Linked DNA regions of Schizosaccharomyces pombe. The protein of the gene in region 2 purifies or fractionates together with the protein of the main gene of each other region. This does not show direct contact. Each region holds a gene or a part of one and is shown on either strand. Other genes may lie near its edges. The genes, in order: rpn501 and arc3.

Region 1 (3,846 bases), on a different chromosome or scaffold from region 2:
GAATGCAGAAAGAATGGTTCCTCGTAAAGACAATAAAAGAATCAGAGTTACTTTCAATGGCGACGTTGCAGGAAACCTTAGCTGGAAGCTTTGGCCCCAGCAGCGTGAAATATATGTTCTTCCAGGCGAGACTGCTCTAGGGTTTTATACTGCTGAAAATACGTCCGACCATGACATAGTAGGAGTTGCAACTTATAATATAGTACCAGGTCAAGCCGCTGTTTACTTCTCAAAGGTTGCATGCTTTTGCTTTGAAGAGCAAAAGCTAGATGCTCATGAAAAAGTAGACTTGCCTGTGTTTTTCTTTATAGATCCAGAATTTGCTGATGATCCAAATATGAAGGATATTGACGATATTCTTCTAAGCTATACTTTTTTTGAGGCCAGATATGATACCAATGGCAATCTTTTAACTAAACTCAACTGAAATAAAAATTAAGGGACTACATATTGAGTGAACTACAATAATTTATTTAAAATAATTCATCAAGTTAACCTTCTAGTTACGAGACAAATAACAACGAAAATCACTACAAACTTACTAGAATAACTTTCTCCGAGGTTGCAATTCGACATTAAAACTATTGTATTCTCGTAAAAAAAGTTGAAGGCCTTTGAACCAATAGTATATTATTTAAATGACAAAGTCATGAAAGTAACGAAATGAAATAGAGACGGAACAATTTATTTGGCTACCGCCTGTTGAATAGAATTCATCATTTCTTCTTTTATAATAAGCTGTCTTACCTTTTCCAATTTTCCAAGAAGTTCAGTAATATTGGAACCCCACTCATTCAATTGCTCTTGCACATTTTGAGATTTCTTGAATGAAATGACTTGAGCTGGGCGATCAATCTTGGCATAGAAATGATGCTTTGCAATAAGATCGCAAAGAAATTGTTCTGTTTCGGAAGGACTCATATCCAACAACACTCCTAGACGACTGCAATGAATGCGGGAATAATAGTTTGCGACTACACGAATATTGTGTTCGATGACTCGCTTACGAAGTTCAGACCAACGTTTCTCACCTTTTTCATCATTTTCAGCAAAAACAGGATTACTCCTTAAAGCACTTCCATAGATTTCGGCAATTTTGGGCCATCTCATTAGTTCATTGACAATAAAGCACTTAACCAATTGTTGGAGTAAAGGAAGAGAATTTAGTTTATGGTCAGCATTAATTCGGTGAAGAAGATCTGCCTGCTCGTTATCATAAGGAGTAAGCAAGGCAAAGCAAACGACATTTTCTAATATTTCTTTCCATTTCTCGGGGTCCTCTTGAACCACGGCGGTGTCATAAACTGCTCGATAATATTTACAAACATCAAGATATGCATCGTCGTGCAAACCAATTCGGATTTTTTGCTCATAATACTTAAGTTTTAAAGACTGGACGTCTTCCTTTTCAAAAAACTTAACATTTATTTTCTTCGTGTAAGTAGATGCCATGTAGTAATCAGACCTCAGTAAGAATAATCTAACTTGATCCAAAATGAATGCAACTTTTTCCTTCAAATCAAAAGATCCGTAAGTCTCTACTGGTTCATTACACAAGATCTCCTGGGCAGATTTGATGTCACCTTGCTCTTCTTTAATCTGGGAAAGCAGTTGTGTAAGACGTGCCCTTTCTACTTCCACATATATCTTTCCATCAGTAATAGTACGCAATGTTTCAATCAAATTAATTTTTGTTTTTAAATCGTCAATTCCAGGAAGATAGGTCATTACATGTTGGACTAAACTTGTCATCGATTGTTTCAGTTGGCCATGCTTTTTAAAGAGACTAACCAACTGTTCGTTTAAGCCTTGGAAATCACCAGCTCGAAAGAGCAAATCAGCAATGTATATTAATACTTTCGTATTCGTGCTGGTGTCAGAAGCCTGACGAACTTGCTTCTCAAAAATCAAAAGCTTCTCGAGGTTCGCATCCTACAATTACAAGTTAGAGATTAGTCAAAATTTTGATTTTTACGTACGATGTCTATGGTATTAAGGTTATTTAAACTTTTTTGTAACTCTGCAAACTTCTCTGAGTAATCAACTTCCGGTTTCTGTTCCATTTCGATATGTGGGTTGTTGGAGAGTGTACAATTGAGACTAATATTGCGAGTTGATTTCTTATGATTACAGAGTTGTAACGCACGCTCGCAAAATACTTTAGTTGTCAGCAATAGTACACTACGCTATGATACACTACGTTGCGTATCACTATATGTCATATGTTGGAATACTAGCTAAGATCCGTTTATTGATAATCACGGGTAACTATCCGTCTATATACATAGATACCCGTTGATAACAACTATTTAGAAATATTATAAATAGCGTTACAACTGAACCTCGTTCCTCAGTTCAGTTATGAGCTATATTAGTGATAGGTAACATTATAACTCAGTTAATACAATACCTATACTCAGTTGCTACTTATACAACCTGTGTATTGTAATATAATAGACCACAAGGAAAACTCACCGCAGTTCTACGTATCCTTAAATCAGATACCAAACTGCGTAGCTTACATTAGTGAAATATAGTGCTTATTTCTTCTATAGAAGTTCGTAAAATGCTGAAGGGCCGCAACATATTAGACGTGCTTTCAACGACATTCTAAAGAATACACCCTAAGCTTGAACCTCAAGTTATTTCAACGATTTAAAGGGAAGTAAGAGATAAGGTTCTTTGTGAAATCGTTCAAAAGTATTTCAAGGATTTGGGTTAGTGTAGCGTTCAGTTTTATCACTTGAAATTCATTTGCATCGACAGTTCACAATAACAAGATGAGCAAAATGGCCGGTCTAGATAACGCTGTTATGGTCCGTGACGATCAAGGAAATCCTTTCATTTTAGTACGTGACCAGGAAAAGAAGAGAAGATTGCATGGAATTGATGCTGTAAAAAGTCACATATTAGCTACCAAAACAGTTGCTAATATTGTGCGTACTTCTTTGGGTCCCCGTGGACTGGATAAAATTTTAATCTCTCCAGATGGAGAGATTACGGTTACCAATGACGGTGCTACAATCCTCGACCAAATGGAGGTTGAACATCAAATTGCAAAGCTGTTAGTTCAGTTGTCTAAATCTCAAGATGATGAAATTGGGGATGGAACTACTGGTGTTGTTGTACTAGCAGGTGCATTACTGGAGCAGGCCGAGGCACTTATAGACAAAGGTATACATCCTATAAGGATTGCAGATGGTTACGAAAAGGCATGCCAGGTGGCTGTTAAACATTTAGATGCTATTTCAGATGTTGTCGACTTTAGTCCCGAAAACACTACTAATTTATTTCGTTCTGCTAAGACTAGTTTGGGTAGTAAAGTGGTTTCCAAAGCTCATGATCACTTTGCAAACATTGCTGTGGACGCGGTCCTTTCTGTTGCTGATTTGCAGAGAAAAGATGTTGATTTTGAACTCATTAAAGTAGATGGCAAGGTTGGTGGTTCAGTGGATGATACAAAGCTTGTAAAGGGTGTTGTGGTGGACAAAGACATGTCGCATCCACAAATGCCTCATCGTATTGAAAATGCAAAGATTGCTATTTTAACCTGCCCTTTTGAACCACCAAAGCCAAAAACTAAGCATAAGTTGGACATAACATCAGTGAGTGAATTTGAAGCCCTTCAAGCTTATGAGAAGGAAAAATTTCAGGAAATGATTAAGCATGTAAAGGACGCAGGAGCTAACCTTGTTATATGTCAATGGGGTTTTGATGATGAAGCAAACCATCTACTTCTTCAAAATAATTTACCGGCTGTACGTTGGGTGGGAGGTCCCGAAATCGAATTGATTGCTATTGCTACAAATGGACGAATTGTGCCCCGATTTGAGGATCTTTCGTCTG
Region 2 (3,943 bases):
CAGAAGAGAATGTAGAAGAGAACGAGGAAGAGTAACCCCATACCTTGTTTTATTTGATTTTTCAACCCATTTACTACCTTCTTTATATTTTATTATTTGTCGTCAGTGTTTTGGTAATATTTAACTATTTAAGCTATACATAATTAGAAATTACGACGCACCTAGGAAGTCGCAAGATGGAGAGGTATTATGTATACATATATATGTATAGTATTTATAATATATATACTTGAATTAATTTTATGTTAAAATTCCATTTCTTTTGGTGAGATGTTAAAATTATAATATTAGTAAGAAGAGAGAGTTAGATAGGATCGATTTAAAGCGCATACTCTTGATACCAATAAAAGTTTTGTGGTATCAAGGAAATAATGTTTATCAACGTTCCAAATTAAAACAGAAAAAGAAAATGATAAATGTTCAGGACCCATTATGCTAAGCTCTGTGATATCAATCCTCATCTTGTTGACATATGTTACATCATGTGGGCCACAATTAATAAAGCTATTAAAAAAGAGTTAGAAATATCAGTTTCTCTTACTTTTAGAAGAATTTTCAGAAGGCATTTTTTCCCAAAATAATTGAATTCTAGCAAGCAGGGCGTTATCGTTTTGAATGGGAATAACACCTGACAGAGCTTGCATTACTACTTCAAAGTCTGCATCAATTAGCGTGTCCCACATTCCTTGTATAACCGCAAGAGAAGTGGCTTGCAATAACCTGACAGTTTGACCTTTGCTTCCACCTAATAAAAACAGGAGATCCCATATACGTAATTGAGTATGGAAGGGCACGCATTGATGAAAAACAGTGAGATACCAACGTGTAGCAAAAGCAGATGGTTCTGCTCCAATTTCCGCCAGATGTCTGCCTGATTGTGTAAAACTTAACTCATGCTTAAGCATGTCAAAAGCCTTTAAAAGTGTATCAAACCCGGAAGAAAACAAGTCCCCCATGCCTCTATTTTCCAATAAATTTACCATCATTATAAATGCTTGTTCTTCGGGATAGTAAATGAGCAAGGTCGCAGCAATAGAAGCCATTCCTTGAACGTATCCAACACGAGGTATATAGAGAGCTACAGCATGAAGAACTCTAAATAGTAAACGTTGCCCTCCAATGTAGCGTTTTCGGAATAAGAAATGTGTAGCAGCTGTTCTGGGAACATCTAGGTCAATTTGAACATCATAGTCACAAATCTGCTCGTTCAATTGGTAATACTTGTCAATCAGTTTTTTATCAGGAAGAGAATCCACAAGAAAGGACCACCACGCAATAGATCGCCAACAATCTGGAATCCCCTTAAATGTACGTAAAATTAACTTACGAGTTTTTCGAAAAGAATGGAGCTGATTACCGGAAACGAGGTGTATTGAACACATCGATTTCCATTTTTGAATACGGGAAAGCTCTTTAGCTGATATTTCGTTGCGGTCATGCGACTCGCCGGGAACAACCATGAAGATGCTTTCATCAACGTACTTCAGCATGTCATCATGGCCGATTAATTTATTGCCAAGACGTTTGGCAGGGTTTGGTTTATCTAATGTTGGGTCTTTACTAACTTTATAGAACCCTAAATTATTAACATTAAAGTCTGAGCGATAGTTTCCGTAACGATCCACATTTTCCAATGACTCTTTTGTATCGATTTCTTGAACTTTTCCATTAATAGGTTCTGGTATATTTAAATTATTCTTGTCTTCTTGTAACCTGTACAACGACCGAATTCGTTGCAAATTGGTTGTTCTAGTTGGGGAAGGGTTTTCCATGCTCTTTCAGATATATCCTCAATTCCGTCACTCTGGAGAAAACAGATTACCTACTAAACTGTATTAAAATATCCAACACAGAAAGATTTAACAGGGGGGAATTGTTTCCGATGTAGTAATGTTTACGGTCCCAAAAGACCGTCTATCCCCATATAAGTCAGTACGTTAGATCCCAAAATCAAAATAACCAAACATGAAAATCTTTTTTTGACGTTTTTATAATTTTTCAAGCAATAAATGCATTCGTGCAAATGCTTATGAATTTGGTTCTCGCTACAAATTTATTGGCTCTATGTCATTTCCATTGATGAAAACTAGTTATAAAGTAGAGACCGAGACCCGATCACAAAACAAAAAAACGACACGCTATATTGCTTTACTGTAATTACATAGCTTTTCGCTATTTTGTTTAAAGAAAAGCTAATTTATCACTATTGATGCTTGACGAAATGCTCCCTATCGGCACATTCAGCAGGTGCTCAAGTTATCCAACAACATCATAAGCACTAGACATTAGATATGCCGGTATGTTCTAAAGTTTTGAATTTTTGTTGCTGACATGTTATGAAAGGCCTATCATTCCTCCTTCTTAAGTCTTACGGACGTCCCTACCACGGGAAACATAGCAATGCTGCCGTTGAAAACCAAGTTTCGTGGACCGGCTTATCCTGGTATGTTCCAGATATTTGTCAACTCTGTTTAAAGACTATTCTTAATGTTATTAGAGTACTTTCTAACATTTTTTATACAGCTGATGAGAGTCAAATGGATATTATTGATGAATGCATTGGGCTGTTTCGCGCCAATTGTTTCTTCCGCAATTTTGAGATTAAGGGACCAGCAGACCGTACTTTAATTTATGGAACATTATTTATCAGTGAGTGCTTGGGAAGAGTTAATGGACTCAATTATCGTGATGCTGAACGTCAACTTAATAGTTTAGCGTTGGAGAATTTTTCTATTCCTGGCTCTGCTGGCTTTCCCTTGAATGCATTATATGCTCCTCCCCTTTCTCCTCAAGATGCTGGTAAGATTCACCCAAACTGTGGCATTAGACATATAGATGTTTGTGCCGCTAATAGCTTTCTTGCTTTTTTTTTCATTTGCTAACTATTAAAAAAAGAAATAATGCGTACATATCTTACTCAATTTCGTCAGGAACTTGCTTATCGTCTTTTGTCCCATGTATATGCAACTGAAAAGGATCATCCCAGCAAGTGGTGGACTTGCTTCAGCAAGAGACGTTTTATGAACAAAGCTTTGTGAGTCTATTAATTAATAATTTGGCTCATACTGTATTTCAAAGCCTTTATGTTTTTCCGTTTCCTTTATTTCAAATGCGGCTTATAAAGTTTTTGAAGCGTACGAATGGCTTATTTAATGTAGGCAGTTTTATACGTAGATAGTAGATGCAAAAATAATCGCTTTACTTTCATGTACAAGTTATCAATTAGCTTTGTTAATTATGCTAAAGGAATATTTGAATGATTAAAGTCGTAATATTCAATGTTGGTTCAAAAATTTTTATTGAAATCGTAATTTTGATTTTTGCAAACGGCAGACCCAATAATGAGGATGGTATATCCATTCAAGCATACTTCGTTTGTCCCCCATATAAGTCGTGTCGACCGAATTGTGCTTTAAAACCTCAAATCCCATACTATCCATCACGTAAAACAGCTGCTCGAGAGTCAATTCAACGAAAGGTTGTTGCTGGCTATCACTGTTAGAATTAGAAGTACCTTCTGACTCAAAATGATACAATAAAGGCCCGAGATTTATCCAATAACCTCCATCTACCAAACAGTTTTTAATTGTATCCAAATAGTCCAGTATGTTTTTTGTAGTGTCTATAAAGAAGCAGGTAGCTACTACTTGAAACGAATCACGACTTTCTTCGGTGCCGTATACCTCCAGGAAATCCCCGGCTGCCATTGAAAAGTTTTGTGAATTCCGCAGATATTGAGAGGGAACTGCATCAGGAATATTTAATGAACGCACCTGGTCATCACGCATGACATGGTTCGAAAATGAATGAATATAAGGATACACAAGAAACTGATTTTCCTGCTTTACGCAATTCAGTATGAAATGCGACGTTAAAAGCATAAAATATGAGAACTCATTTCCTTGGCATGCAAAGCCTATTAAATGTTAGAAGCTATGTCCAA

What was found.
Region 1: the proteins of arc3 (region 2) and rpn501 purify together in Schizosaccharomyces pombe (affinity purification with western blotting; one study listed by BioGRID). This does not show direct contact.

Annotation. Positions count from the first base shown.
Region 1 is NC_003424.3:1,264,486-1,268,331, reverse strand, and holds rpn501 (19S proteasome regulatory subunit Rpn501), read right to left. Parts: upstream 2,064-3,846; coding exon 1,980-2,063; intron 1,933-1,979; coding exon 685-1,932; 3' UTR 552-684; downstream 1-551. Other genes in the region: rsm22-cox11 tandem protein cox1101, read left to right, coding at 1-427; chaperonin-containing T-complex epsilon subunit Cct5, read left to right, coding at 2,790-3,846. UniProt on the Schizosaccharomyces pombe protein: Acts as a regulatory subunit of the 26S proteasome which is involved in the ATP-dependent degradation of ubiquitinated proteins. Required for proper proteasome assembly.
Region 2 is NC_003423.3:3,110,553-3,114,495, reverse strand, and holds arc3 (ARP2/3 actin-organizing complex subunit Arc21), read left to right. Parts: upstream 1-2,258; 5' UTR 2,259-2,291; coding exon 2,292-2,297; exon of another isoform or gene 2,298-2,343; coding exon 2,344-2,443; exon of another isoform or gene 2,444-2,523; coding exon 2,524-2,799; exon of another isoform or gene 2,800-2,895; coding exon 2,896-3,038; 3' UTR 3,039-3,296; downstream 3,297-3,943. Other genes in the region: pdk1 (serine/threonine protein kinase Ppk21/Pdk1), read left to right, coding at 1-35; SPOM_SPBC1778.09 (GTPase-activating protein), read right to left, coding at 528-1,772; SPOM_SPBC1778.07 (carnosine N-methyltransferase), read right to left, coding at 3,297-3,916. UniProt on the Schizosaccharomyces pombe protein: Functions as a component of the Arp2/3 complex which is involved in regulation of actin polymerization and together with an activating nucleation-promoting factor (NPF) mediates the formation of branched actin networks.